4 linked regions of the Macaca fascicularis genome follow. The protein of the gene in region 1 binds, or shares a complex with, the protein of each later gene. Links are inferred from orthologs where the notes say so. Each region holds a gene or a part of one and is shown on either strand. Other genes may lie near its edges.

Region 1 (7,306 bases):
CGGTTCTTTCGGTCCTTCTTTCGAGGAGGATGGGAGAGGTCCCCCTGGGAAAGGGGCACGGGGGTAAGAGCAGCAGGGGGCCGGGAGGTATGTGTCAGGGATGTGGGGGACAAAGGAGATGCCACCTTGGGCCCATCGAGATCAAAGAGAGAGTCCTTGAGCTTCATCTTCTCAAGCAAGGTAGCACTGTCGGGGGCCTGCAGACGAGAGAAAGTGGACCTTGGGGGTCCTGGCTGGGTGGGACCTGCTTGGGCTGCCCTTCTCTTGGATGACTTTGCTTTCTTAACAAAAGTCTGGATGGTTCGAAGATCTGAGGGGGCCGAGTCCCAGCCATCACTGTCGGCCGCACTCTCTCCTCGCAATGGAGAGCTGGAGCCAGAGGCGGGCCAGTCACTTTCCTTAAAAGGGGAAAGAGACCAGGGTCAGCAGAACCCCAGTGTCATCTCAGCCCCTCCACAAACCCAGCTTGAAAAGGAGTGACTAGATTTACCCCAAAATGTCCTCTACCTCAACCACTAAATCCCACTGTACTCCCAAAACTTCTCCCCACCCCAATTCCCATCAGCATGTCCTCGTGACCACTCCGTGTTACCTCCACCTTCGAGTCTTGATACCTCACCGCTGCCCCGCCCAGGGCCTGTGGAACACGGTGTCCCCCAGACCAGAGCCTTATGTCCTTAGCTCTTTTTCTGTGTAGCCTAATTTGTTACCATTTTCATCTCCCTAAAATTTATCCATAAACACCTTCTATTCACAGCACCTCAAGACTGCCAAAATCTCGACCAGCAACTCCAGAACCCCCTTGCTTTTCACTGCTGTTCAAGCTAGCTAGCCCTGCCATCCACTCCCTGCATACCAGCTTTCCTACCACAGTCCTAAGAATCTCCAACTTCCCTCTAGTCTTACATATTTCTAGGGGCTTCCTCCTATAAAGCAGTACAGTTCTATGTGAACAACAGCCACTCTCTAGTCCCACGACACGAGCCTCAAGTCAGTAATTCTCTTGCCCCTACCTCTTTGCTAGGAGGGATGTAACCAGCATATGCCAAAACAAAACTGCAGAATTTGTTGAAATCCTCAATTGTTCTCCGCCGTTTCTCTGGTGGCTGAAAGGAAGGAGACATGGATCACATGGAAAGCCACACAGTTTAAGAAGGGCATTCTCAGAGACACAGTCCCTAAGTGAGGCGTCTAGAAAAGGGGGGCGGGGGCGTTGTCAGGCAGGGCTACTAGGCTGCAAAGATCAAGGAAATCTCACCTGAGTCTCTGGCTTCAGGGTCGGAGGTGGATCTGGAAAAGCAATAAAAGCTGAGTCAAGACACTACGAAACAGTCTGTGTAAAATTCCTCCTCTAAACCCTGTTGTTCCTAAGTGAACCCCCGGCTCTCCCAGGTCCCTCTGCCAGGCCAGCAGGCCCCCAGCTGTGTTGGATCCGCCCCTGCTCCCCCTTCCGCCCCGCGAGGGGCGGAGCCTGGGCGCGGCGCCCTCTGAGGCCTCGCTATAGCGCTCCCCTTCCCCCAACCGGAGGCCCGGCGCCCCGCCCCCCCCAACTCACGGTCTCTCTCGACTCCAGTCTACTCGGATCCCTCAGCGCCCCACCCCACCTTACCGCTCCCGGGTCCGCGTCCGGGCCGCCGCCCGCCGCCCCCGTCCTTCACATGCGTCCAGAGCCCCGAGTTCCTACCCGACCGCGCTCCACCGCCTCAGGCCCTCCGAGACCGCACACGCCGCCCGCCGGCCCCCAGGGTCCAGGATGACCACGCCGAACCGCTCCCCGCCCTCCGGCCCCTTCTACTCGAGCACGCGGCCCGGCGCGCCCCTCACCCCCACCCCAAACACACACAGGCACACGCATCCAACGCTACTTCACGGCCGGGACAGACCCGGGAGCTCTAACCCGGACGCGGCCCCACCTGCCCCCCCCATACCGCGCTCCCCACAATTTCGCCGTCCCTCCGCCCCCATCCGGGGCTTTGGCCCCTCCTCGTTTCGAGCTCCCCGGGCTCCCCGCCGGGCCCCCCGGCCCTGTTCCGAGCCCTCTCCGGCCGCCGCCGCCCCCCCTCCGCCCCCGTACTCACCACCCAGTCACTAGGCTATGGACCCCTCAACTCCAGCCCCTTCCCCCCAACCAGCCACTCTCTCTCCACAGCAGCCACCTTTGCTGCCACCGATGCCCCCCTCACCCTCAGCAACTCCCAGGCTCTAACCCTCGCGGACCAACCCTAACCCCCCCGCAAGTCGCCGGTCTTAACCCCCCCACCCCGCCCCACCACCCCCTACAACTACCCAGCTCGCCTCGCTTCCTGGCTCGCTCTCTCCACAACTACCCCCCGGTACAGGTCCGTCTGCCGTAGACAATACCCAGACCCCCTCTTCTCCCCACAACTACCTGCCCACCCCTCCGACAATCACCGGGCATTCTCCGGCGGCAACTATTCGGAGCTCCCGTACCACCGCCACAAACTACCCCACCTCGGCGAACTACCGGGCCCCTCACTCAGCCTCTTCTACGTCCTCCCTCCTGAGCAACTCCCGGCCACTGGATTTCCCCAACCTTCCAGTTCCAGGGCCCCAATCTGCCGGTGGCCCTTTCGGGCCCTAACCCCCGAGGCTCCGGATTTCAAGCTCCTATCCCCCGCACCCCCCCACCGTCTGATCTCCAACTACCCCAGCCCAGTCTCCCACTCCTCTTTCTCCAAGGTCTCTCAACTCGTCGCTCTCCCACCTCCAGGGCCAGCCTCCCGACCCCCTCCCCGAACTCCCCCGCTGGGCTTCGGGGCTCGACCTCCAAGTTTGCCAATTGATTCCTCGTCCGCCCCCCCGCCGGCTCAGCGCTCCGCGCCGGTCGAAAGCTCACCTTCGGGACTGGGTTCCGCCATGGCTTCCAGCATCGCCCCCTCCCCTCCTCCCGGTCCGGCGCCCCCCTCCCCGGAGCCGGGGATCCCGGTGCCGCCTCTAGTGCTCGATGCTCCCACTGCTTCGCTCCACAGAAGTGTCCGCCTCAGCCCGGTTGAGACTCGAGTCCGCTAGCCGCTGCCGCCACCTCCCTCTACCACTGCCTCCCGCACTCCCGGACCGGGCCCCCTCCCCCCGCGCCGCCGGCCGCCTGCTCCCTCCTCCTCCTCCTCCTCCTCTCTCCTCCCTCCCTCCTCTTCTCTCCCTCCTCCCTCCGCCGGCGCCGAGGCGCAGTGCACCAAGGGTTTTGTAGTCCGTCCGGGGACAGCGGAAAAGGGACCGCATGAGCCTCCGGAACTTTGATTCCCAGAAAGCCACAGGCTGGCGCAGGCGCCCCAAGCCGCTCCCCTCCCCCGGGGAGTGGCGGGGAGACCGGGAGCCAGAGGAGAGAGCGGAAGTGCGCGCGCAGGCCCCTGGGAGATGTAGGCTGGGCGGGACCAAGAAAGAAGAGGAAGAAGGGATTAGAACTCTCGGCCACCATACTGTCTCGTTCTGCAGCTTCTTTCTCCCCCGAGGGACCGCCCCACTTCCGGCCTGCCGGAGAAATGATTGCTGGGAGATGAAGTATTCCTGGCGATAATGGCTCCCCCTCCCAGTCTTCTCCCTCCCTGATTCCACTCTGCTGAATCCCACACACCGGCAAAAGTCTAGCCAAGTGACATGCAACTGAGAACAGCCGTTTTACTAGCTTACACACATGAAAATATCTTCCTTAATTAGAATGTTCTAGCAAATGTGGATGTTCACCTAAAGCAGGTACTTTGGAACTTTCTCCACAGGAACCCACAGTAAAAAAAAAACAAAAGTTTTACGTGAGCATTTTTAACATTCAGTTTCACATACATGTCATAAAACTAAAGTTTCATTAAATGATCCTCAGTATTCCATTCCATCACAAAAAAGCACCCTCTTTTTGCAGACAGGGAAAAGCCCAACATGGACAGAATAAACCAAAATATACTTCTATTCCTCCAGCTTGTACCCAATACTCCTTTCCCCACCACTGAAACCCACTGACACCTTGGAAAGACTAAAAATCAGCGGGACGAGGGGAGCAACACAAGGCAAAATTCAGTTCAGCTTGGTGGTTTCCTCTTTATTGATGTGCCTCCTACCTTTCCCCCCACAATTTCAGTCCCTTCCAACTACCCCCAAAAAAGAAGGTAGTGAAAGGAAGGGATTGCTGGGGTTCTGAGCCCCTTGGGCAGTCAGAAAGGGAACAGAAACCAAAACAATCACTGGATGTGAAGAGACTGACAATCAAGAAGTCTAAAGCAGGATGGGAAAGGCGGGCAGAGAAAGGGGAAGAAAGGAGAAAGGAGAGGTACAAGATGCCAACTCCACCATTACCCCTCCGAAAAGAGGCTGGAGAGAAAACTTCAAACATTAAGAAGTGCCCGTCCTGAATAAGGGAGGTGGTGTTTGAGCTTGAAGGAGGAGGAGGTCAAGAAAAGGGGGCCACCTCTCTCTTTGTAGAATGAGACCCCCCTCCAGCTCAGGGACAGCAGCTTCACAGACCGTAGACACTCTCGTCACTGTAGGCAATGTAGAGAAAGAAGTCTTCTTCATGGTGTTCCTGGGATGAAGGCAGAAAACTGTTCAGCAACTGGGCTCCAGTTCCTTAAACCAACCACGACCCAGACACTTTCTTCTAGAACCAGAAACCAGTGCCCGACTCCTTCACTGACTCCAAGGCCTAGCACACGAGCAATATAATCTCTGCAGTCCTGGGCAAAAAAGGCCTCAAACTGTTTTCTGCTGCTTTGGAATGGGGAGGAAGACTGGGAAGAGTCCCGAACAGTTTCTCTAGTTCACTGTTCTCTTTCCTTCTCTCTACTCCTACTGTTCTGTCCCAACCCCCAAACCACGGCTATTATGAAATGTTAAGGCAAGCGAGGAAGCTAGTCCAAAATACTGATGTAACAACACTTTCTTCCCCTCACGCTCTTCCAAGATTCCTCTCCAAAGCCTCCACCACTTCCCGGTCACCATACCTGGTAGAGCTGACCCATTGTGGCACTGGTGGGTGGAATGACATTGTTGACAAAGAAAAACAAGGCATCCTCAGCTCGGAGATGAATTCGCTTCCGGATCAAGAAGTAGAACTGACCAACTGCAAAAGATACAAGGTGCAAGAAAGTCACAGAGGTCAAAAATGCCCTCAAAAGAACAGCTGCTAGGTGGAGCCTTCTCCCACAGAGACTGCACTCCCACCCACGGGAAGCAAGCCTGAGCCTTGGGTCAGGTTCCCACCTGTGAGATCAGAAGGCACCAGGTATTTCTTTTTGTCCAGGTCTCCTATCCGAGCTTTGGGAGCCTTTTCTACTATCACCTGATAAAGAGACGAAAATTAGCAGACAGAAGGAATGCAGCGCCAAAGCTGCACCTGTCAGGAACTCAAGTAACAATATTCCTAGTACCTAAATCTACCCCAGACTCATCTCTTTGTCTTTGTACACGCGGTGCAGCACTGAGTCCCAGAGATCCTGACCTCACTGACTGGAGCTTATTTAAATATCCAGGATCCATCCACCGAATAGGGCGTCACCATAAACAACTATCTTAATCAGACGGAGATGACTTGTCTGGGTCCACTAGTGATTCAATCTCGCAACCTTAGCTAGTTGGGGGTATGGCCATTTGAGGCTCAGGCTGTCAAACTCTCTAAGGCCTCCACTCACACAAATGCTAAGGTTTCTCTCTCCTGTCCACATCCCTCTCAACCCCACGTCCACCACTACCCCACTCCTTTCATCCTCGGTCCCAAGGACAGCAGTTTCAGGCTCGCTCCCAACCCCAACACAGCCAGCAGCCTGATCCCTGCGCTGCCCGTCCCAGATCCAAGGCCAGGCTGTGGCGTCAGCGTAAGCGTCCCGCGCCCTCGGCCCTGGCTTCTGTCCTCACCGGCACCCGGTCCGGGTATTTCTTTCGGATTTTCTCGCCCTCAGAGCGGCGCTTCTCGAACGGATGCTCTTCTTTGTACACGAACTTCATCCTCCCGGGAACCGGGCTGGACCGGGCTGGGCTGAGGGAACCCGGGGGGGCCGGGACGGGGGGCGGCGGCGACGGCGGCGACGCGCGGGCGGATTCAGCGGAGCGATCCACGAATTTGCGCCACTTCCCTATTCACCAACCCCGCCCCCGACTATCGGGGACGGCCCCCCCACTAAGATACGCCACTACCTCAGCGGTGCTAACGCTGCTAGCGTAGCACCACCCACTGACCGGCCCCCTCACGCCATTAGCGTAATCGCTTTGGAATCAATTTGTGGGCTACGCAGGCGACGTAGCAAAGACGGTTGGCTTTTGGTCATGGAAAATAACTCTAAATCTGTTCCCCAACCTTCCCCTCAACGAAGCTGGGGCTGAAGAGGAGTAAGATATGGTAATCATCATACGAGACTTGCTTCTCCAAGTTCCTTTCGGAAACAACGTAGAGGAACAGCAGAGACAATTACAAGGTTAGCTATTCACGAACCGTATTGCTACGCTGAAGGCGGCCGTTGACACCAAAACAAAGTAGTACCCAAGTGGCGGAGATGATCTCCAGAAGTAAGAGGTCAAAAAGAAAACAGATGTTTGGAGAGATGTACAGAACGCTTAAGTGCCAAGAATGAGTAGACCAATAGGGACTGGAGAGGAGGTTGGAGGGGTAGGGACTACGCCAGCGCGGAGGAACACCGCACGGTTTGAGTGAAATCATGTGATCTCAAAGAGGGCGGAGCGTCACGTGGCGGGTGTGCGAAGTAGGGCCGGCTTGGGAGGGCGCCGGGGAGGCGGGGCCGGCTGGGCGACGGCGGCGAGTGGGGACCTACGCCTCCCCGGACTGCGGAGGTCGGGGCGCCAGCCGCCTGGGGCCAGCGCCCGCTTAACGTGTCCACGTCAGTACCCCGGACGAAGCCCGACGTTTCTCCAGCTCTACGCCCTTTGGCCGTCCAGGTTTCTCCTTACTTGCTTTCTAGCCTGCTGCTCCGAAGGTATCTTTCCACTCCCCACCAGCGCGCACATCCTCGGCCCTTCCCGCCAAAGCATCTGGTGGCCACATTCATTATTGTATCCCCATACTCAACACCACCTTTCCCCCTGCCCCTTGAGTCCAACAGCAGTCTCTTCCCTCTCTGCTCGGGGGACAGGGTGCATGTAAACAAAGTTCCCTCCCTTCACTTCCCAAAACCCCAGAGAAGGACCTAGGGCCGTTTTGGTTTCAAAGTTATAATGCATGGTTTAAAAGAGAAGAAAGGAAAAAAAGACACAAAGCTGGTTACAGGTCTGAGGGAGTCTAAGGAGAGAAAAATAGAAGGAGAGGAAAGGGGGGACAAATTTAGGGAAAATCCAGTGGCCCAAAATCCCA
Region 2 (7,571 bases), on another chromosome or scaffold:
CTTTATTTAGGTATAATTGACACAGAATAAGCACTTATACATAAACGTATTTACAGTGTACAATTTGGTAAGTTTTGACATATAAACATCCATGCAACCATTACAACAATCAAGAAAATGAACATTTTTATCACCCCCAAAGTTTCCTCATGCCCCTTTGTGATCTTTCCTTCCACCCCTATCCCTCATCTAGCTTTCTCAATTCTTCAAATAGGTCTTGTAATTCCTTATAAACACAAACTTGAATTTTGTTATTTTTGAATGCAATATTTCTCCTATTTCAATTTTTTTTTTAAGAGACAGGGTGTCAGTCTTTTGTCCAGGCTGGAGTACAGTGGTGGAATCATAGCTCATTGCAGCCTCAAACTCCTGGGCTCAACTGGTCCTCCTGTCTCAGCCTCCTGAGTAGCTGAGACTATAGGTACATGCCACCATACCCAGCTACCTTTTCTTTTCTTTTTTAGAAATGGGGTCTTACTATTTTGCCCAGGTTGGTCTTGAATTTCTAGCCTCAAGCAATCCTCCCTCATCAGCCTCCCAAAGTGCTGAGATTATAGGCATGAGCCATCACACCCAGTCTTCTTCCCACTGCATTTTAAAATTGATGATTGTTGTTTAGGAGAGGTATTTTATAGCCACCTTATTGAATTAGTTTCAATTTATTCCATGGATTTTCCAAGAAAGCAATCAATCATAATACTCTAAAAGAATTTATTTTTTATTTTCTTTCCAACATATATACTTAATGTTTTGTTTTGTTTGGACTTGCTGGGTTCAGTTAGGACTTCAGGAAAATGTTGGCTAGTAGTAGCAGGCCTGCCCCTAACAACTTGATGACCCAGATTACAGAAAGAGGTCTATACACCGTAAGTTTGAATATTTAAAGATTATACATCAAGCTAACCAACAGTTAGATTGAAAAGTTTTGGCCAGGCACGGTGGCTCACATCTGTCATCCCAGGACTTTGGGAGGCCGAGGTGGGTGGATCACGAGGTCAGGAGATTGAGACCATCCTGGCTAACATGGTGAAACTCTGTCTCTATTAAAAATACAAAAAATTAGCCGGGCATGGTGGCAGGCGCCCGTAGTCCCAGCTACTCAGGAGGCTGACGCAGCAGAATCGCTTGAATCTGGGAGGTGGAGGTTGCAGTGAGCTGAGATCACGCCACTGCACTCCAGTCTGGGCGACAGAGCAAGCCTCTGTTCCAAAAAAAAAAAAAAAAAAGTTTTATCCTACTACTTTGACACATCTAACTTATAGCAAACATACACATAGCAACTTAGAAGTCCAGGTCCAAATTTAGAATCTTTGAGTACCACACCTCCCGATTTTGTACCTGAGGAAGTTCTTCAGAACTTAACACAAATTATCTTTCATTTCAGAAGGTCTTATTTCACTGATCCTTGCATAAACATCATTTTCTCATGGTATTGACTAATACTTTAATTTTTCTCCTTAGAATCAAAATTTGATAAACACATTTTGGGGCTCATTGTAAAACAAACATCAGCATACATTATGTTCCCAAAGAAAATCCAAATTGCTTGGTAGATTTGGTGCTTTGTTTTAGAAATTGTCTTTCAAGGCTTTTTAAAGGATCTACGGGCCCCTAATCTTCCCTGGTCCACAATTTCTACCTCCAATTCTACTGGAAGACCCTAAGAACTGAGTTTCCTTAACTGTGGTTTGAACATCCTGATCACTTCTGAGACAATACCATTAGTGAATACATTCTAAGCACGTCATCTGAATATTTACAGACATCTTTTAAAAACGGCTGGATCTGGAAGTTAGGCCATGAAGAGAGGAAGACCTGTGACTTGGACAAGGCTTCAAAGCCGGTCACCTGCTTGTTCATGTGGTAGCAGCTGGTCTAACTGGAATAACTTGGGAAGGAAATTAGGACACACAGTTGGAGTTCCAGCTCTGTCATAAGCTGGCTAAACTGGAATCAGTCACTTAAAACTCTTTGTTAAACCCCAGAGTCATAATCTATAAAATCGGGATAAAGACGTTTGCCTTAAGCCCTCCACCAGTTTTTGGAGGAAACCACAACTGACTGAGCTTTAATTTTTGCACCTGTTGCAATTAAGATGGCACTTCTGCCCTGTCCACTTCACAGGGTTTTTGGGGATGGGATGGGGAGGCAAAACCTTTCTGAGCTTCAGTTTCAAAACAGAGCTAAGAATACATGCCCAACCCGCAAATAAAATTCTAGGAAGAACAGAGGAAAATAGACAGGAAAACTGCAAAATGCAGTCGGCCATACAAGCATGAATTGTCTTGAACACAACAAGCAGACCTGAAGAGGGTTTGTGCGTCTCTCTCCTCTTGGCTCGAGTCACAACCCCATAATGTAAATCAAAATCACTTTTGAAAAAGGCTTTCGCTGTTCAGAGCGGCGTCCGCATTTGTACTCACCTGCGCGTCCCCCGCACCCCACCCTGCTGCCTCGCGGGACGGGGAGGGGGCGGGGCCTAGCCCAGCCCACCCCTCGCGATGCCCCGCCCCGTCGCTCCTGCGCCTGCGCCGTGCGCACCGACCGGCCTCGAGCGCCACGGCGGGAGGTAAGGGGCTCTCTGGAGGCCGCCTCTGGGGGCGTCGGGCCCTGATAGGCTTGGTGGGCCGGGCGCCCTGTGGCGCGCGCAAGAGGCGCTGGGAGGCAAGTGGGGCATTGGATCAGAAGTGCGAGCCCCATGGTGGCTGCTCCTGTCTTTCAGAAGTGGCGGAGCCTCTCTCGGTTTCGTTTTTGGAAGCTTTATTAGAAACTGGTATAGGGAGGCCGCAGACGATGCGAGCGGGACGGCCTTCCGGGGTCGCAGGGTGGAAAAGTTTCCGACGCGCGTCCTGTCTCTGGCGCGCTGTAGGCCTCGGGTCGCCAGGGTCGCCGGCGTCTGGGTTCCGGGACAGACCCGCGCATCCGTTCGCTGGTGGGGGCGTTTGTTGTGTGTGGCCCAGGTGTGCTGTGGGTGACACTGCGAGGAATGACGCGACGCTCGAGGGTAGTGGGGAGTGGACAGGGAGCGAGAGGCCGAAAGCCCCTGCTCACCAGACCCAGAGGTGGTTCGCAGAAGGTCCCACCCCTTGGCTCCCTCCTTTTAGCTATCTGAGGTTCAGAGAGGAGACCTCACATTGACTTTTCTCTCCAAATTCACTGTCTCTTCCATAACTCAGAAACCCAAAGCGGCGGGCCCGAAGAAATCGGGCGCCACCAGTATCCCGAAAAGTGGGACCTCTGAGCCGATGGAAGGTGTTCGTCACTTTTGGGGGCTGGGTTTTCTGAGAAATGGGGTCTTTCACTTATTAATAACCTCCCAAGTAACTTACTGGGAAACATAAGTATTATGGTACCCATCTCATATTAGTTGTAAGCACTACATGATAAAGTTTGTAAAGCACCTGGCACAGTCCTGGCACCCCTCTCTCCAAGTATTAATGCAGTGAATACCATTGCAGTTCTTTGACTTCTAAATGTTTCTACCTGTCTTACGTGAAACATCTTCTTATACATAAAAAACCTTTTTATTTTGAAATAATTTTACAATTACAGAAAAGTTTCAAAAGTAGTACAGAGTTCCCTATTGCTTCCATTAATAATTTTTTAGATACCATAGCGCAATTATCAAAAGCAGGAAGTTAGTATAATACTATTAACCGAATTACTGACTTGTGATTTTTTTTTTTTCCTGTATTAATGTCCTCTTTCTATTCCAGGATCTACTCTAAGACCCGACATTGCAGTTAGTTGTCTTGGGTCCTTGGTCTTCTCCAGTCTGTGACAGTTCCTCAGTCTTTTCCTGTCTTTACATTGATAGTCTTTTTCAGTCTTTATACTCTTTCTGATCTTTACGCTTTTGAAGAATGCTGGTCAGTTATTTTGTAGAGTGCCCCTCAAATGGGGTTTGTCCAGTGTTCTCTCATGAGTAGATTAAGGCTATGCTTTTTTGTTAAGAACACAAAAGTGTGTGTGCCCTTCTCAGTTCATCATATGAGCGTAGCTGATAGATATGACTTATTGCTTGTGAGGTTACTCTTGATCACTTGGTAAGAGAGTGTCTACTGGGATTCTCCAATATAAAGGTCTTATTTTTTCTCCTTATAATTAATTGACATCTTGGGGGAGCTTTTAAACTGTACGCATATCCTGTTTCTCCTCAGACTTTCCCTTGCTAAATTTCACATCCATTGGTGGATCTTGCCTTCAGCAATTATGACTATGGTGTTCTAATGATGATTTTCTACTTTCCTCATTTCTTTATTTATTAATTGAAATTATTCTGTAAGGATGAGCTGCGCTTTTCCCATTTGTTTATTTGTATTCCGTTATTTATTTGTATCCATGTGGACTCAGATGTTTTTCTATTGGTTTTTATCTTACACTTGTGTTATTTTATGTGTGAAATTGTTCAGCTTTGATCATTGGAGTTTTTTTTTTTTTTTTTTTTTTTTTTTTTTTTTTTTTAGGTTGCTTTCTGTAGCTTTTCAGCATGCTTCCATCCTTTTTTTTTTTCTTTTTTGGAACTTCCTAATTTTCTGGTACCATATGATGCCCCAGGCTCATCATATGTTTTCTGTGCCTCAGCCCTGATAATCAGCCACTTCTCCAAAGACCCATAGTTTCTTTTTTTGGAGAATAGTATTTAAACACAAAGATCTGTGCTCTAGGGATGTTCATTGCTCTGGGGTAACATTACTTCCAGGGCCCCACAGAAGACACCAGTCTATACATATGCATACCCATGTATACACAAAGATCTGTATTTATTTCTGTATTTATTTATCCATATATTTTTTAAAAACAAAAGTTCATCCCAGTAGCTTTGCTTCTAGTCTAACACCACAGGGTTCATTCTAGTTTTGTCCCTTATTTTTAACTTCTTTATCTGACAGTGAGAAATCTGACTCTTGTAGTCTACAAAATGTTTTCTTATTTTTTCAGTCCTAGTATACACATAAAGTAATTTCAGGATTTCTGACCTATATTCCTGTGAGAAACACATTTACTAAATAGAGGACAGTGTAGTTCCTTTTGTCTCTAGTCTTACAGTATTCAGTTAAAATATTGTTTTCTAAAGTGGCTTAGATTATTTTTCTTCCTCACTTCTTTCAGTGTGGTTATGCTATTCATTTATAATACAGTTTATGTTTTTATAGTTTCTATTCCATTTTGGAGGGAAAGAGTCTAAAGGTAGACTAATTGAAGCTCCTCCATTATCATGTGCTATGCATATTGTGCTATTTGACTAGAGTGATAGGATTAGCAATGGTGAAGAAATATTTTAGTTCAGGCAGCATCTATTGAACAACAGGTGTGTTCAAAAAACATTTTGATAGGAATGATGGTAGATATAAAGATATCTCTTTGCAGTATAGAAAACAAAAGAGGCAGTGTGATAGATTGGGAAATGTTAATGTTAGACAAGTAACTGATATATTTAACATTTAATAACCTTTTATGAGAGAATAAGAGAAAGACATCCTCTGTAGTAAAACAGATATGTATGACATGAACAGGCAATTCATGGAAGTAAGAAATGCAATGGTTACAAAAAAATAGTGAGAAAGAATGAATAAAATCTAGTACTTGATAGCAGAACAGGGTGACTATAATAATTCAATTGTACATTTTAAAATAACTAGGAGTATAACTGGATTGTTTGTATCACAAAGAATAAATGCTTGAGGTGATGGATACCTCATTTACCCTAATGTGATTATTACACATTGTATGCCTGTATCAAAATAACTCATATATCCCATAAATATATACCTACAACTAATATATACCCACAAAAATTAAAAATTAAAAAAAGAAGAAATGCAGCAGGGCACGGTGCCTCATGCTTATAATCCTAGTACTTTGGGAGGCCAAGGCAGGTCAATCACCTGAGGTCAGGAGTTCGAGACCAGCCTGGCCAACATGGTGAAACCCCATCTCTACTAAAAATACAAAAATTAGCAGGGCGTGGTGGTGCGTTCCTGTAATCCCAGTTACTTGGGAGGCTGAGGTAGGAGAATCACTTAAACCCGGGGAGTGGAGGTTGCAGTGAGCTGAGATCACACCACTTCACTCCAGCCTGGGCCAAAAAAAAAAAAAAAGAAAAAAGAAATGCAAATGGCTGATAAATCCATCCCGTTAGTAATTTAAGGAGTGCAAAGTAAAGCAATAATGAGACATCATTTTTTTCACCAATGGCATATCTTTTTTTTTTTTTGAGACGGAGTCTCGCTCTGTCGCCCAGGCTGGAGTGCAGTGGCCGGATCTAGGCTCACTGCAGGCTCCACCTCCCGAGCTCATGCCATTCTCCTGCCTCAGCCTCCCGAGTAGCTGGGACTACAGGCACCGCCACCACGCCCGGCCAGTTTTTTTGTATTTTTAGTAGAGATGGGGTTTCACCATGTCAGCCAGAATGGTCTCGATCTCCTGACCTCGTGATCCGCCTGTCTTGGCCTCCCAAAGTGCTGGGATTACAGGCTTGAGCCACCGCGCCCGGCCTCACCAATGGCATATCTAAGAATGATAATACTAAGTACATTGGTTGGAATATGGATAAATGGACATCGTGTTATGTTTCTGGTAGGAACATAGTAGGCATAACCTTTTGTGGGATATGGCAATATATATTAAAAAAAACTTTGAAAAATCTGTCTGCCTAATAATTCTATTTCTAGATATTTTTTATTTTTATGTAAATTTTTTCAATTAATACACAATAATTTTACATACTTATAGGATACATGTGATATTTTGATACATGCATACCATGTGTAATGATCAAATCAGGGTATTTGGGATATATATCACCTCAAACATTTATTATTTTTTTGTGTTAGAAGCACTTCAGATCTTCTCTTCTAGCTATTTTGAAATACGCAATAAATTATTAACTATAGGTACCCACTGTGTTATTAAACATGAAAAATTTATTCCTTCTATCTAACTGTATGTTTGTACCCATTTACCGACTTCTCTTCATCCCTCCTGCCCCTTCCCATCGCTCTACTTTCTACCTCCAGGAGATCAACTTTTTTTCCCTGTTTTTATTTAAGAAATGGGGATCTCATTATGTTGCCCAGGCTGGCTTCTAATTCCTGGGCTCAAGTGATCTTCCTACCTTGGCTTCCTGAGTAGCTGGGAGTACAGGCTACATGTTCCATCCATGTTGCTATAAATGACAGGATTTCATTCTTTTTTTTTCTTTTTTTTTTTTTCTCCGAGACAGAGTCTCACTCTGTTGCCCAGGCTGGAGTACGGTGGTGATATCTGGGCTCACTGCAACCTCCGCCTCCTGGGTTCAAGCGATTTTCCTGCCTCAGCCTCCCAAGTAGCTGGGAATACAGGTGCATGCCACCATGCCTAGCTAATTTTTTGTATTTTTAGTAGAGACGGGGTTTCACCATGTTAGCCAGGATGGTCTCGATCTCCTGACCTGGTGATCGGCCCGCCTCGGCCTCCCAAAGTGCTGGGATTATAGGCGTGAGCCTCCACGCCCAACCCATTTTTTTTTTTAAATGGCTGAATGATATTTCATTGTGTATATATACCAAAATTTCTTTATCCATTCATCC
Region 3 (7,739 bases), on another chromosome or scaffold:
TAAGATCAGATTGGCCAACAAGGTGAAACCCATCTCTACTAAAAATACAAAAATTAGCTGGGCATGGTGGTGAGCACCTGTAATCCCAGCTACCCAGGAGGCTGAGACAAGATAATCGCTTGAACCTGGGAGGCGGAGGGTGCAGTGAGCCAAGATCGTGCCATTGCACTCTAGCCTCAGCAACAAGAGCAAAATTCTGTCTCAAAAAAAAAAAAAAAAAAAAAAAAAAGAATTCATATAGCTTATAATTTGCAGAGCTAGAGACAGTCAAACCTTTTCTGACATTCCAGACGCTGTGCTCTTAATCAACAAACAACATTGTCTCATCTTGGAATCCTTCACCTGTCTATCCTGTAAGTAACCTCCTGTAAGTAACCAGATCCTATGCTTTCTTCTCTTCCCCATTTATTCAACAGTAACTACACACCTACTCTATGCCAGACATAAAAGAATTCAGGAATGAATAAAACAGAGTCCTTCAAGGAGCTCATACGGTAGTGGAAAAGGCCAGGTGTGGTAGCTTATGCCTATAATCCCAGCACTTTGGGAGGCCAAGGTGGGCGAATCACTTAAGCCCAGGAGTTTGAGACCAGCCTAGGCAACAAGGTGAAACCCCATCTCTTCAAAAAATACAAAATAACAGTAATAAGTGGGGTTGGTGGTACATGCCTGTAGTCCCAGCTACCAGCTACTTGGGAGGCTAAGGAGGGAGGATCTCCTGAGCCCAAGAGGTCATGGCTGCAGTGAGCCGTGATCACTGCACTCCAGCCTGTCAGAGTGAGACCCTGTCTCTTAAAAAAAAAAAAAAAAAAAAAAAAAAGAGAGAGAGAGAGAGAGGCTGGGCGCGGTAGCTCATACCTATAATCCCAGCACTTTGGGAAGCAGAGGTAGGCGGATCACCTGAAGTCGGGAGTTCGAGACCAGCCTGACCAACACGGAGAAACCCCATCTCTACTAAAAATACAAAATCAGCCGGGCATGGTGGTGCATGCCTGTAATCCCAGCTGCCCAAGAGGCTGAGGCAGAAGAATCGCTTGAACCCAGGAGGCAGAGGTTATGGTGAGCCGAGATCGTGCCATTGCACTCCAGCCAGGGCAACAAGGGCGAAACTCCGTCTCAAAAAAAAAAAAAAAAGAGAGAGAGAGAGAAAATGTGGAAAAACCGGATATAAACAAGTAATTATGAGATGAGAAATGCTCCTAATAGGGAGTAGAGGAAGAAGGGCCTAATACTGCCTCAGGTCTTCAGTTACCCAGAAGAAAACAGGAACCAAATGGCTTCGATTTAGTTCAACAAAAAAATAATATGCAGAGGTAACAAATGCAAAGTCTTACAATCTCAGACATGAATTACTACTATCTTTATTCCCATTCCCCAAGTAGGAAACCTGGGCAAATTAACTTCTCTAAATTTCAGTTCCCTCATCTGCAAAAGGGGGAAAATAACACCATCTATCACATAGAAATAAAAGTGAGGACTAAATGAGAAAAGGTATATAAAATGTTACCATTTTTTAGAAACCTCAACTCTATTCATAAAACACCCATTCATTATGCCATTCCCCATGCCAACATTTCTATAGGATAACATCAAAACTTTAGCCTTGGCCAGCTGCCATTGCTCACGCCTGAAATCTCAGCACTCCGGGAGGCCAAGTGAGACTGCCTGAGTCCAGGAGTTCCAGACCAGCCTGGGCGACATAGCAAGACCCTGTCTCTAAACAAAAAGCAAAACCAAAAACGAAAAAAAACTTTAGCATTTAAAGGACACAAAGGGGACTTCTGGGGTGCTGCTACTGTTGCTTGAAGTAGGTGCTGGCTACATGAGTGAATACAGTTTGTAAAAATTCATTGAACTCTACACTTAATATGTATTGTATGTATATTGTACTTCAGTTTAAAATAAAATTTTATTTATTTTTTGTTTAATTCATCAAACTCTGGCCTAAACCTAGCTTCCACCCCATTACTCCCCTACTTTGGACATTTCACATCTTTGAACGTTTCTTCATCCCATTTACTTTCTGCTACCTGGAACTACCCTTTTCTCTAATCTCCCTTCCAAAACCCTACATCCTTCAAGAGTCAGCTCAAATCCCACATTCTTAGGAAAACTGGAAAGAGAGGGGATAGTTTATTCAGGGTCAAAATACTAAGGAAGGAACTGGGTGGACACAGAAAGTACACTTTTCATAAATTATTATAACGATTTGTCTCCCTCACTAGCCTGTTCAGTTATTTCAGCCCAACTTCTGTTTCTCGCTGTAGGCGTTAGTATAAAACAATGTTTGATGAGGAACTTAGTAAGGAACAGTAACAAAAACTGCCCTGCAAGTCCCAGACTGAGAAGAGACGTCTAAAGCACATGCACACTCTCCTCGCTTAAGCAAAATTGGTCCCCTCATCCCGGACTCCCTCACACATCACCTCTCACCCCAGGGAGCACCCCCTCGCGATCCCGCCCCAAATCCCAAACTCCTCTGCAAACCGCGCTGCACAAGCACCTCCTCCTCTTATTCCAACCCTTCCACAGACCACACTCCGTCGGCTCAGGGCACTGAATGGGACACGCCCCCTCAGATCCCCACCACTAGGTGGTCCGGCCCCCAGGGCCCAAACCTCACGACACCATCTCCACGCCCGCTCCCCTCACCAGCCCCGCCCTCAGGCCCCGCCCTCCCCGAGTACCCCACGAGAGGGTCAGTTCTCTAGGAACCGCGCGCTGGCGGTCACTGCCCCCGCCTCCCATTCACAGAGGCCGCGGGAGGGCAGGCGGGGCCTGACCGTCTGCTCGAGCCAGTGACCTCACCTCTCTTCCAAGAGCTCAGCGGGGACACCACCTCCACCCGCTCGGAAATGAACTCGGCCAGACTGGAGCGGAACAAGGCCGCCCGCACTGTCACAGCCACCACCAGCACCAGGGCCAAGGGAGCCGCCATGATAACTGGGGCGGGCGCGCGGGCGATGAGGGAAGGCGAGGTGGAAGAGCCTCGCGACCTGCGCGCCACTCTCTGTAGTTCCGCGCGCGACCGCGCGCCGCCGCTGCCACCGGAGCGGCCAGACGTGGAGACTACAACTCCCAGAAAGCCTTACGGCGAGGCGGGCCGGAGCGACGGAAAGCGGGTGCCTCAAGCTGCGTGCAGAGGGTGGGGCGAAACCTTCTCGGATCGCAGGTGCGTTGTGAAACGGCGTCGCTGTAGCGGGGCTGAAACGCTGCTGAAAGTAGAAGCGGAAGTAGTCGACTTCCCGGGATTGTGAGATACTTTTAAACAGACGTTAATTTCACTCTTGCGTGTATGTTTTCAATGCCAAAATTTTTATTTTTATTTTTATTTTTTTTGAGACTGAGTCTCGCTCTGTTGTCCAGGCTGGAGTGCAGTGGCGTGATCTCGGCTCACTGCAACCTCCACCTCCTAAATAGCTGGGATTACAGGCGCCCACCACCACGCGCGGTTAGTTTTTTTTCTTTTTTTTTTTGAGTAGATATGGGGTTTCATCATGTTGGCCAGGCTGATCTCGAACTCCTGACCTCAGGGGATCCGCCCGCCTCGGCCTCCCAAAATGCTGGGATTACAGGCGTGAGCCACCGCGCCGGCCTCTCTCTCTCTTTTTTTATTTTTTATTTTTTAAGAGACAGGGTCTCACTCTGACAGGCTGGAGTGCCACGATCATAGCTCACTGCAGCCATGACCTCTCGGGCTCAGGAGATCCTCCCTCCTCAGCCTCCCAAGTAGCTGGGACTACAGGCATGTACCACCAACCCCACTTCTTCTTCTTCTTCTTCCTATTATTATTATTATTATTTTGTATTTTTACTAGAGGTGGGGTTTCACCATGTTGGCCAGGCTGGTCTGGAACTCCTGACCTCAGATGATCTGTCCGTCTTGGCCTCCCAATATGCTGGGATTACAGGCGTGAGCCACCGCGCCCGGCCCAAAATGTTTATCTTTTATGTTTGGTGGTTTTTTGCTTTTGAGACAGGGTCTCAGTCGCCCAGGCTGGGGTGCAGTGGCTCGATCTCGGCTCACTGCATCCTGGACCTCCCAGGCTCCAGAGTAGCTGGGACCACAGGTACGCACCACCATGCTCGGCTAAGTTTTTGTACTTTACTTAGTAGAGACGGGGTTTTGCCGTGTTGCCCAGGCTGGTAACTTTTTATGTTTTTAAAGAGTGTTAAATGTGTATTTTTTTTTTTCCTGGCAGTTGTTTGTTAAATGCCAACTATTTTCCAGGCACTATGTTAGGTTCTGCGGATACGTTTGGGGGTAGTAGACTGATTTATTAGCTCTGCAACCTTCAACAAGTCGCTTAACCCTTCTGTGCTGAAAAAGGTGCTGATTGTAGGCTCACTAGGGACGGTTGAGGAAGGCTTAGAATCTTTTTTTTTGGAAACGGAGTTTCACTCTTGTTGCCCAGGTTGGAGTGCAATGGCACGATCTCAGCTCACTGCAACCTCCGCTTCCCAGGTTCAAGCTATTCTCCTGCGTCAACCTCCCAAGTAGCTGAGATTACAGGCAAGCGCCACCACCCCTGGCTAATTTTTTGTAATTTTAATAGAGATAGGGTTTTTCTCCATGTTGGTCAGGCTGGTCTCGAACTCCCGACTTCAGGCGATCCGCCTGCCTAGGCCTCCCAAAGTGCTGGGATTACAGGCTTGTGTTATTGTGCCCGGCCAGAAGGCTTAGAAATTTTGCCAGTCACTTTTAAACACAACCATTTTTGAAAATTAACATATATAAACCTACAGTTAAATAACTTATATTGAAAACAAGGGAATACATATTCAACACTTCACTTTCTAATTTTTTTACCACACTTTTGTTTTATATGTGCTTTTGACATTATTTACCACCACTGTATCAGTACGGCAAATACTATATCTTTCTCTTCCCAAATGGTGGTGTTCAGTTTCCTCCGGTTGATAGATTGAAAATCCCTCCTGATGCAAGTGTTTACACCACAGGAATCAGCAAACACTAGAAATCAGGGGTTTGGGGTTTGGAGAGCCCATTAATAAGCATTAAGCAGCACACTTCATTAATTAATGTATAGTAAGTGCTTAAATATTAGCAATAATAATATTAAATGTGCAAGGAAATTTCATATTTATGAAGAAAATGAAACAGGCTGGGCGTGGTGGCTCATGCCTGTAATCCCAGCACTTTGGAAGGCTGAGGTGGCCGGATGACTTGAGGTCAGGAGTTCGAAACCAGCCTGCCCAACATGGTGAAACCCCGTCTGTACTAAAATTACAAAAATTAACCAGGCATGGTGGCCTGTGCCTATAGTCCCAGCTACTCAGGAGGCTGAGGCAAGAGAATCAATTGAACCTGGGAGGCGGAGGCTATAGTGAGCCAAGATAGTGCCATTGTACTCCAGCCTGGGTGACAGAGCCAGACTCTGTCGAAGGAAAGAAGGAAAGGAGGAAGGGAGGGAGTGAGGGAGGGAGGGGAACAGTGTATGATTGAGAATAACTACTGGTGTAATAATAAGGGTGGTAACACTAGACAAAGTGATCAGGGAAGACTCTACAAAGAGATGATTTGAGCTGAGACCTAAAGGATGAGAAATTGATCAGAGCTTCCAAGCAGAAGGAACGGACTGAGTGGAGAGAGGGCAAGGTATGTGTGAGGATCAGAAAGAAAACAAGTATGACTCAAGTGGAGAGAATAGAAGAAGCTGTGGATGGAAAGACGAGGGGCAATCAGATAGGGACCTATTGGCCATGGTTGAGAATTTGGGCTTTATTCAAAGTGCAATCCATATGCCACTGGAGAATTTTAAACCAGAAATGATGTGAACAGGTATACATTTTTCAAACATCTCTGTGTTCCCACAAGCCCTCTATTGGGTGTTGGGGAATATTGCAGAGACAAAATGGCACCATCTGCCTTTGCCCTTATGTAACTTGGAAAGCAGTTGAAGAGATAAAATAGTTAAATAATAACGTAAGTAAAATCACAAACCATAACTCCAGCCTGGGTGACAGCGAGACTCTGTCTCAAAAAAAAAAAAAAATCACAAACCATAATGAGAGAAAGAAAAGGGGGAATCGGCCAGGCGCAGTGGCTCACGCCTATAATCCCAGCACTTTGGGAGGCCATGGCCGGAGGATCGCTTGAGTCCAGGAGTTTGAGATCAGCCTGGGTGAAACCTGTCTCTACAAAAAACATAAGAATTACCCAGGCATGGTAGTGCACGCCTGTAGTCTCAGCTACTGGGAAGGCTAAGGTGGGAGAATCACTTGAGCCTGGGAGGTTGAAGCTGCAGTGAGCCAAGATCACACTGCTGCCTTCCGGCCTGGATGACAGAGCAAGACCTTGTCTCAAAAAAAAAAAGAAAAAGAAAAAAAATGGCCAGCACTTTGGGAGGCCGAGGCAGGCAGATCACCTGAGGTGAGGAGTTCGAGACCAGCCTGGCCAACATGGTGAAACCCCATCTCTACTAAAAATACAAAAAATTTAGCTGGGTGAGGTGGCAGGCACCTGTAATCCCAGCTACTTGGGAGGCTGAGACAGGAGAATCACTTGAACCCGAGGATCAGAGGTCGCAGTGAGCCGAGATCACACCACTGCACTCCAGCCGGGGCAACAGAGCAAGACTGTCTCAAAAAAAAAAAAAGAAAGAAAAAGAAAAAAAGGGTAGGCCGGGCACGGTGGCTCAAGCCTGTAATCCCAGCACTTTGGGAGGCCGAGACGGGCGGATCACAAGGTCAGGAGATCGAGACCATCCTGGCTAACATGGTGAAACCCCGTCTCTACTAAAAATACAAAAAAACCAGCCGGGCGAGGTGGCGGGCGCCTGTAGTCCCAACTACTCGGGAGGCTGAGGCAGGAGAATGGCGTGAACCCGGGAGGCGGAGCTTGCAGTGAGCTGAGATCCGACCACTGCACTCCAGCCTGGGCGACAGAGCGAGACTCCGTCTCAAAAAAAAAAAAAAAAAAAAAAAAAGAAAAAAAGGGGAATGGGATTCTAAAAGAATGCAAAAATCAGCCCTGGGGCTGATAGCTTTCGGACCAGTGGAAGGGGCAGAGTCTCCTTTGGGGGAGGGGATCATGAAGAAATTAGAGGGGCACTCATCCTTTGAGCCCCTGCTCTGTGCCAAGCAGTGTACCATATGCTTAACACACATGGGCTTATTTAGTCTGCACAGCCTTCCTTCTTAAATATGTAGGTTTTGGTATCTCCTTTTACATAAAAGGAGGAGATAGATATATTGCATCATCTTACAGTGGAGTGTATTACATCATAAAAAGTGGAAGTAATTGTAACACTAACCTCATAGTGAAGATTGAGCAAGGTTGTACAATGTAAAATGCTTAGCACATACCCAGTGCTCAGTAAACGTTACTTAGCTGTTACGTTATTTACATCATTCTAACAGATGACTTAAAAATTTATCTTAGGGTGAGGATTGTCTTTGGGAAAAACAGTGATTAGCCATTGTAGACAGATGTGACCCAAATCAGTAGTTCTCAAAATGAGTGTACATGAAGTATGAATAAAACCAATGGTTCTCAATAAAAAAACACAAGACCCAAATACAGAAGCTAGAATTATAAAACTCATAGAAGAAAACATAGGAGTAAACCTTTATGACTTTTAATTAGGCAATGGTACAACACCAAAAGCACAGGCAATAAAAGGAGAAATAAGTAAATTTAACTTTATCAAAATTAAAAACTTCTGTGCTCCAAAGGACACCATCAAGAAATGAAAACTGCTGGGCGCGGTGGCTCA
Region 4 (7,802 bases), on another chromosome or scaffold:
TTCCTCCACTGTTATTAAAAAAACAAAGAGATTCCTAAGAGGGGAAAATTCTTTCTGGTCTCAGCTTAACTTCAGTGGTGATGGTAGCTTGTTTACAGAGAAAAGCTTTTAACCATGCTGAAAACATGCCAACTATGGTTAGGACATTTTTGTACCCATGAGACTTTGCGAGTTTATATATTTTCCAATGAAAACAAGGACTAGAGAGAGTTGACTCTCATCCTTGTCCCACTTTACATGTTGACTAGGATTGTGTTTCTGGCAGATGGGGCAAGTTCAAGTTAACGGCTCAATATTAGGGCATCTCGAACAATATTTGTGGAGATCCTTCAGATTTTCTTTGCCATAATGTGTAACCTCATGGAGGCTGCAGAATAAATTTTAGGTGAGGGACCGAGAGAAATCAAACAGTTGTCTAGGTGTCTCCAAAGCCCATCTGAGTAGATAAAACATCCAGCTTGTTGCTTTTTTGCTTTTTCAGCCTCAGGTGCTAGCAGCTGTTATATCTTAAGTTTCTTAAGAGTTTCTATCTTTAGAGTAGGTTAAGCAAGGAGAAGTATACATGTGATTCAGGGGATGTCTTCTTGGGAAGCAGAAACCTTAGCATATTTTCAGCCAGTTAAGTTTCCTTTAGCTTTGTTAGTCTAGCCACTAGTGTGAGCTTTGATTTTTGAGAACAGCTAATTTCTGGATAGCTGTAAAGACTTAAATAGGAGGGCCGGGTGCGGTGGCTCACGCTTGTAATCCCAGCACTTTGGGAGGCCGAGGCGGGTGGATTACCTGAGGTCAGGAGTTTGAGACCAGCCTGGCCAACATGGCGAAACCCCATCTCAACCAGAAGTACAAAAAAAAAAAAATTAGCCGGGCATGTTGGTGGGCACCCGTAATCCCAGCTACTCAGGAGGCTAAGGCAGGAGAATTGCTTGAACCCGGGAGGCAGAGGTTGCAGTGAGCCAAGATCGAGCCACTGCACTCCAGCCTGGGCAACAAGAGCGAGACTCCATCTCAAAAAAAAAAAAAAAAAAAAAAAAGATGTAAATAGGTTAGCGAGTTGGGTTCTGATTGGTACTCCTCAGTTGTCATAAACCTCTTTCTTTCCATAGCATACCAAAATCATGTACAATTCCAAAAGTAAACTGGCTGTCTGTATAAATGTTAGTTCCCTTATCTTGTGCTAACATGCAAGTTTGGGTGAGTGCTTAAGAATTCAATGATTTGGGCCACGTTAACTTAGGTGGAGATTTCAACTTAACAGGCTGTTGAAAATCTGCAATAGTGTATCCTGCTTAAAATTCCCCATTTGTACTCCTGAAGTAAGAACCATCTACAAAGAAGGTGATATCAAGGTCTCTGAGAGGAGTTCTGGTGATGTCAGAGTGAAGAAATGTGAATGACTGTGTGACGGTGATATAGTCACAAGGTTGTCCTTCAGAGGGAATGGGAAGAAAAGTGGCCTGATTGTTTTGACTACAGTGGACAGTGATGTGAGAGGAAGACAGTGGCAGGGTTTCACAGGAGGTGAGTCCAAAGTGGAAACGTGTTAGGTGTTCTCAGTGACTTCTAATGTCTGAACTACATGGGTAAGTAAAGGTTGAGTGAATGACTAAAAATAAAGTCAGTTCTGATGGAGCAGCAACTTCATACAAGCAAGGGGAGAAATGCTTGAGCCTCTGGGTCTAAAAGGATGCTAAATTACCAACCAGGCCTCTGGCTTCCCTTGTGTTTTGGGGTGAGGACCCCTAAAGCATGTCTCTTCTTTTATGTAAAAAAGGGAAAGGGGTACTGAATATTGGACAGACCAAGTGGGAAAAGTGGCTAGAGAGGACTTCAGATTTTGAAATGCAGATATGGAAGGAAAGTCTCAAAGTAAGGTGATTGGAGGTGGTTTCCTTTTAGTCATGGCAAGTAAGGACAGGCAATTGTGAAAAAACCAGGGATCTAATTCCAGCAACAGCCAACCAATCCTACAAACCCTGAGTTAATTTTTGGTATCAGGGAGAGGCACAGTGAGTAAAAAATAAAAATAAAAAAAATTCACTTCTACTGGATGCATACACTAATACAAGGTGTTAATAATAATAAGGGAACTGTGAAGTGGGGAGAGATATATGGAAGTTCCCTGTCCCTGCTGCTCAATTTGTCTGTAAACCTAAAAATAAAATCTAATTTACACACACACACACACACACACACACACACACACACCCCTAAAAAGGGATCTCTGCTGCAATTTGCAAGGTTTTCTGTTTTCGGGGGCTGTTTTTTGTTTTCCTACAGGCTCATAATTTCAAATTAGTGATGCTTCCTTTTTTTTCTATATATATAAAGGCTAGAAGAAAACTTGTCGAACCTTTATATTCTAAGAACTGAGTAATTATTCTACAAACCAACAAATATTAACAGCGTCCTATAACCAACTCATTTAATCTTCACACAATCCTATGAAATACTACTGTTCACATTTTACAAAAGAAGAAACAATTCAAAGAGACAAGTCGAACAATACATACTAGAACGAGGCGACTACTGTGGATTCCAAAACCAAAGTTCCAAACCACAAAATCGAATCTAGGAAAACTGGCGCTCTCGAGTGTCGTCAGTTAAAAAACAAGGAACACCAGAGAAGGATCGCGATATTACACAAACTACTACTCCCAACATGCAAAGCGGATTCTTTCCCTCGGTATCGGCCTGGGAGTCCGAGAGGCCCAGCAGCCTTCGGGGCGCGAAAGGCAACCTGGGAGCGGTAGTTCTCCTGGGCCCTAGTATTGTCGCCCACGCGGCAGTAGCGGCTTCTACGGCTCCAAGCCAGCGGGTCCTGTGAAGGCGAGCAGACGCGGAGAAAGGACGCGGGAGTGAGAGAGGGTGAGTCAGCTACTGTCTAAACGATAAAGGGAGGCGGCTCCGCAGGGTAGGGCTGAATTCAGTAAATGGGCTCGTGCTGCGGTCTCTTGGGAGACGCTGCTATCTTAGCGTCAGCGAGGGAAGGTTGAGGAGGAGCCAGAGCCGGGTCCTGCAGCCTTTCTCGCCATCAGCGCCCGTCGCCATCTCCACCATGCAGTCCCGGGAAGACGCCCCGCGCTCTCGCCGCCTCGCCAGTCCCCGTGGTGGGAAGCGGCCCAAGAAGATTCACAAACCCACGGTTTCGGCCTTTTTCACGGGTCCAGAGGAATTAAAGGACACGGCCCATTCTGCAGCCCTGCTGGCACAGCTCAAGTCCTTCTACGATGCGCGGCAGCTGTGTGATGTGACCATCGAGGTGGTGACGCCTGGCAGCGGGCCTGGCACGGGTCGCCTCTTCCCCTGCAACCGCAATGTGCTGGCCGCCGCGTGTCCCTACTTCAAGAGCATGTTCACAGGTGGCATGTACGAGAGCCAGCAGACTAGCGTGACCATGCACGATGTGGACGCTGAGTCCTTCGAGGTGTTGGTCGACTACTGCTACACGGGTCGTGTGTCTCTCAGCGAGGCCAACGTGGAGCGCCTGTACGCGGCCTCCGACATGCTGCAACTGGAGTATGTGCGGGAAGCCTGTGCCTCCTTCTTAGCCCGACGTCTTGACCTGACCAACTGCACCGCCATCCTCAAGTTTGCAGACGCCTTTGGCCATCGCAAGCTGCGATCCCAGGCCCAGTCCTATATAGCTCAGAACTTCAAGCAGCTCAGCCACATGGGTTCAATTCGGGAGGAGACTCTAGCAGATCTGACCCTGGCCCAGCTGCTGGCTGTCCTGCGCTTGGATAGTCTGGACGTGGAGAGTGAGCAGACAGTGTGCCACGTGGCAGTGCAGTGGCTGGAGGCTGCTCCCAAGGAGCGGGGTCCCAGTGCTGCGGAAGTCTTCAAGTGCGTGCGCTGGATGCACTTCACTGAAGAAGATCAGGACTACTTAGAAGGGCTGCTGACCAAGCCCATCGTGAAGAAGTACTGCCTGGACGTTATTGAAGGGGCCCTGCAGATGCGCTATGGTGACCTGTTGTACAAGTCTCTGGTGCCAGTGCCAAACAGCAGCAGCAGCAGCAGTAGCAGCAGCAACTCTCTTGTATCTGCAGCAGAAAATCCACCCCAGAGACTGGGTATGTGTGCCAAGGAGATGGTGATCTTCTTTGGACACCCCAGAGATCCCTTTCTCTGCTGTGATCCATACTCGGGGGACCTTTACAAAGTGCCGTCACCTTTGACCTGTCTGGCTCACACTAGGACTGTCACCACCTTAGCTGTCTGTATCTCTCCTGACCATGACATCTATCTAGCTGCCCAGCCCAGGACAGACCTCTGGGTGTATAAACCAGCTCAGAACAGTTGGCAGCAACTTGCAGATCGCTTGCTGTGTCGTGAGGGCATGGATGTGGCATATCTCAATGGCTACATCTACATTTTGGGGGGGCGAGACCCTATTACTGGAGTTAAGTTGAAGGAAGTGGAATGCTACAATGTTAAGAGAAACCAGTGGGCATTGGTGGCTCCACTGCCCCATTCTTTTTTATCCTTTGACCTAATGGTAATTCGGGACTATCTCTATGCTCTCAACAGTAAGCGCATGTTCTGTTATGATCCTAGCCATAATATGTGGTTGAAGTGCGTTTCTCTGAAGCGCAATGACTTTCAGGAAGCGTGCGTCTTCAATGAGGAGATCTACTGTATCTGTGACATCCCAGTCATGAAGGTCTACAACCCAGTTAGGGCAGAATGGAGGCAAATGAATAATATTCCCTTGGTCTCAGAGACCAACAACTACCGGATTATCAAGCATGGCCAAAAATTGTTGCTCATCACCTCTCGCACCCCACAATGGAAAAAGAACCGGGTGACTGTGTATGAATATGATATTAGGGGAGACCAATGGATTAATATAGGTACCACATTAGGCCTCTTGCAGTTTGATTCTAACTTTTTTTGCCTCTCTGCTCGTGTTTATCCTTCCTGCCTTGAACCTGGTCAGAGTTTTCTCACTGAAGAAGAAGAAATACCAAGTGAGTCTAGCACTGAATGGGACTTAGGTGGATTCAGTGAGCCAGACTCTGAGTCAGGAAGTTCAAGTTCTCTTTCTGATGATGATTTTTGGGTGCGTGTAGCGCCTCAGTGAAATGCACAGGATAAGCAGGGTTTGTTGTAACTGAATTGAAACACTAAGTTGTTTTTACTGTTTTGGAAAATATCTTAAATATCCTTTTTGTTCCTAAAGGAAAGGAAAAGTTGATTAGCTGCCGGTTTGGTTTAGAAAAAGTAATATTTGAAATACGAAGGTAATTTAATATTACAAATGTTAACACTCAGATCAACCTTTTAATAATTTTCTGTGCTAAGGGTCCAGTATTTATTTGATTATTTAGTATGTTTATGTTTCATGACACTAATTTAGTCTTTTGATAAATTTTACATTCTGTTTACTGCCACAAGCACTGTGGCAGTAACTTTTGAATTTTAATGTTTATGATAGAAAAATGATTAGGAATTGCTAGATAGTGTTTTGAAAGCTTATCTTTTTCTTCGGAACAATGTAGATTTCCAAAATGGTTAACCTAAGGGGTCTTTGCAAAATGTGTTATAAGTTAAACATAATTTGGGAAGTTTTACTTTTGTTTTCTTCTATGAAGAAAAAAATGCAGGCCGGGCGTGGTGGCTCACGTCTGTAATCCCAGCACTTTGGGAGGCCGAGGCAGGTGGATCACCTGAGGTCACGAGTTCAAAACCAGCCTGGCCAACATGGTGAAACCCCATCTCTACTAAACATACAAAAATTAGCTGGGCCTGGTGTCGTGTGCCTGTAATCCCAGCTACCCAGGAGGCCAAGGCAGGAGAATTGCTGGAACCCGGGAGTCAGAGGCTAGAGAGAACCGAGATTGGGCCACTGCACTCCAGCCTGGGTGACAAAGCAAGACTCCGTGTCAAAAAAAAGTATATGTGTGTTAGGGTGACTGAATGGTGATTTCATTTATAATAATACAGAGAATAGCTATAAGCTCATTGACAGTAAAAACAACAAACCAGGATTCTGCTGTTTGAAAAGAAGTTTCGTTTTAATTTTGGAATTTAGGATGCAGATTTGCAAAGCGACCAATTTTCATCTAAAAAATTATATTCTGGTTGTGTCACCAAATCATCAAAAAACTTTAAAAAAGAAGTAACTTGCTTTGTAGATTTGTATTGTTGATCTAAACCTGATACATGCTTCATTTAATCAGAGGAATAATCCTTTTTTCGCTGGACATGTATAAATTTCACTGGATTGTATAAATTTTTATCTATTGCCTTAAAAATGTATGTGATTCTCAATATGTTTTAGCTGCACAGTTTTGGTGTTCATCTTAGAGGATTCTTCAGCAGAAGTGATATTTCTTTACTGTTTTGTGAGGTAATACTGATTTTGAAAATATATATAAGCTAAAAACAGAATTTCGTTGATATCAGTAGTCATTGTGTTAACTATGAAGTCAAGTGCCAGCAAAGAACTTTAAAACTATAAAGCTGTGTATAGAACTGTTTTGTGTAGCATGGAAATACTCTGTCAGCTTTTTAAAGTCACTAAATGTTCTTGATTATCAGCTTGAAGGTATTTTTGTATTACAAGTTGACAGTTGCTGGGTGTAGTGCCTCATGCCTGTAATCCTAGCAACTCAGGGGGCTGAGATGGCAGGATTGCTTCAGCCCAGGAGTTTGAGAGCAGCCTGGGCAACATAGCAAAACCCCATCTCTACAAAAATAAAAAATTTGTCTGGGAATGGTGGTCCAAGTCTGTAGTCCCAGCTGTTTGGGAGGATCACTTGAATGTAGGATCACTTGAGTCTGGGAGTTCGGGGCTGCAGCTATGATCACATCTCTGCACTCCAGCTTTGGCAACAGAGCAAGATCCCATCTCTTAGAAAAACAAAGTTGATAGTTGAAGAACATAAGTGGATGATGGCATTTGAGGCCACTGGTGAAAGTATGTTTTCTCTAAAATATTTCTCTAATAGTGATATAAATGGCTATTTTATTATGATGTTTGTATGTGTTTTGTATTTCTCTGTAAACCGTGCTCCAGTCTTTGTTTTTCTGTTACCATAATGTAAGAGAAAGTCCAGGAACAGAGACTACATCCCACGAAACTGACATTGTTAAACACACTAAAACAAAAGTACTTACCTCTTGAAGATTTAATATATAATGCTTGACATGATACCTGTACATGATAAATGACCAGATGCTTATGGTCTACATTTTCCTTTATTCTGTTAGTATTACCTTCCTTAATCTTTGTTCATTAACACGCTAATTCCTCTTCAGTGTTTATTTTCTAGTGACAGAATGTTAATATTTGTTACACCCTGGCAGAAGGGAGAGAAATGTGTTTGGGGTGGGTAACTAAATTTTTGAGTGAAATATCCTAAGATGAGAATGGAAGAGGGAGACACAAAAAGAGTTATAACAAAAAACAATAGTTTTTTTTAGCCATTGACTGGCTCTTTAAATAGTCTACAAGACATTCATGTTTAACATCACTTTTAGTGAAATAAAATGTGCCGTACTACTATGTGCTTCAAAAGGGCAAATGTGCTTTAGTGCCCTAAGGCTAAATTTTGGTCATTTGACATCAGAGATGTTATAAGTATTGAACTTAATATGCGCCTATTTCTCAATAGTGTTATTTTTTGGCTAGCATTTTCTTTACCATTATCTTGTTGATAGCTTTTTGTTCTCTAAGGTTGAAACATGACAGTGCTAATCTCAAACAGATTACCCATCTGCAGAATTAAGGACAGCAATTTATGTATGAAAGACATTCTCCAATTCGTCATTCTCAACCTTTGAATTAAAGCTTAGAC

The links.
Region 2: the proteins of GABARAP (region 1) and STX17 are in contact, whole or in part, in a crystal structure (PDB 7BV4), measured with the Homo sapiens proteins. The link is inferred for Macaca fascicularis from reciprocal best matches to the Homo sapiens genes GABARAP and STX17. Residues at the interface, in NP_009209.1 of Homo sapiens: Tyr5, His9, Lys13, Glu17, Lys20, Ile21, Arg28, Pro30, Lys46, Lys47, Lys48, Tyr49, Leu50, Pro52, Leu55, Gln59, Phe60, Phe62, Leu63, Lys66, Arg67, Phe104; in NP_060389.2 of Homo sapiens: Ala169, Glu170, Ser171, Trp172, Glu173, Thr174, Leu175, Glu176, Asp178, Leu179, Glu181, Leu182.
Region 3: the proteins of GABARAP (region 1) and TP53INP2 are in contact, whole or in part, in a crystal structure (PDB 8T31), measured with the Homo sapiens proteins. The link is inferred for Macaca fascicularis from reciprocal best matches to the Homo sapiens genes GABARAP and TP53INP2. Residues at the interface, in NP_009209.1 of Homo sapiens: Tyr5, Glu17, Ile21, Tyr25, Arg28, Pro30, Val31, Ile32, Lys46, Lys48, Tyr49, Leu50, Val51, Pro52, Asp54, Leu55, Gln59, Leu63, Arg67, Phe104; in NP_001316358.1 of Homo sapiens: Glu31, Val32, Asp33, Gly34, Trp35, Leu36, Ile37, Ile38, Asp39, Leu40, Pro41.
Region 4: the proteins of GABARAP (region 1) and KBTBD6 are in contact, whole or in part, in a crystal structure (PDB 4XC2), measured with the Homo sapiens proteins. The link is inferred for Macaca fascicularis from reciprocal best matches to the Homo sapiens genes GABARAP and KBTBD6. Residues at the interface, in NP_009209.1 of Homo sapiens: Tyr5, Glu8, His9, Glu17, Ile21, Tyr25, Arg28, Pro30, Val31, Ile32, Leu44, Asp45, Lys46, Lys47, Lys48, Tyr49, Leu50, Val51, Pro52, Leu55, Leu63, Arg67, Phe104; in NP_690867.3 of Homo sapiens: Ser663, Asp664, Asp665, Asp666, Phe667, Trp668, Val669, Arg670, Val671, Ala672, Pro673.

What each region holds. Positions count from the first base shown.
Region 1 is NC_088390.1:7,285,738-7,293,043, forward strand, and holds GABARAP (gamma-aminobutyric acid receptor-associated protein), read right to left. Parts: upstream 6,069-7,306; 5' UTR 5,950-6,068; coding exon 5,860-5,949; intron 5,288-5,859; coding exon 5,209-5,287; intron 5,069-5,208; coding exon 4,950-5,068; intron 4,532-4,949; coding exon 4,466-4,531; 3' UTR 4,031-4,465; downstream 1-4,030. Other genes in the region: PHF23 (PHD finger protein 23), read right to left, coding at 1-398, 1,014-1,106, 1,259-1,290, 2,858-2,891. UniProt on the Homo sapiens protein: Ubiquitin-like modifier that plays a role in intracellular transport of GABA(A) receptors and its interaction with the cytoskeleton.
Region 2 is NC_088389.1:58,211,288-58,218,858, reverse strand, and holds the start of STX17 (syntaxin-17), read left to right. Parts: upstream 1-2,533; 5' UTR 2,534-2,569; intron 2,570-7,571. UniProt on the Homo sapiens protein: SNAREs, soluble N-ethylmaleimide-sensitive factor-attachment protein receptors, are essential proteins for fusion of cellular membranes.
Region 3 is NC_088384.1:90,709,057-90,716,795, forward strand, and holds the start of TP53INP2 (tumor protein p53-inducible nuclear protein 2), read left to right. Parts: upstream 1-2,701; 5' UTR 2,702-2,808; coding exon of another isoform or gene 2,809-2,938; 5' UTR 2,939-3,172; intron 3,173-7,739. Other genes in the region: PIGU (phosphatidylinositol glycan anchor biosynthesis class U protein), read right to left, coding at 2,809-2,938. UniProt on the Homo sapiens protein: Dual regulator of transcription and autophagy. Positively regulates autophagy and is required for autophagosome formation and processing.
Region 4 is NC_088391.1:20,475,785-20,483,586, reverse strand, and holds the start of KBTBD6 (kelch repeat and BTB domain-containing protein 6), read left to right. Parts: upstream 1-2,764; 5' UTR 2,765-3,055; coding exon 3,056-5,083; 3' UTR 5,084-7,802. UniProt on the Homo sapiens protein: As part of the CUL3(KBTBD6/7) E3 ubiquitin ligase complex functions as a substrate adapter for the RAC1 guanine exchange factor (GEF) TIAM1, mediating its 'Lys-48' ubiquitination and proteasomal degradation.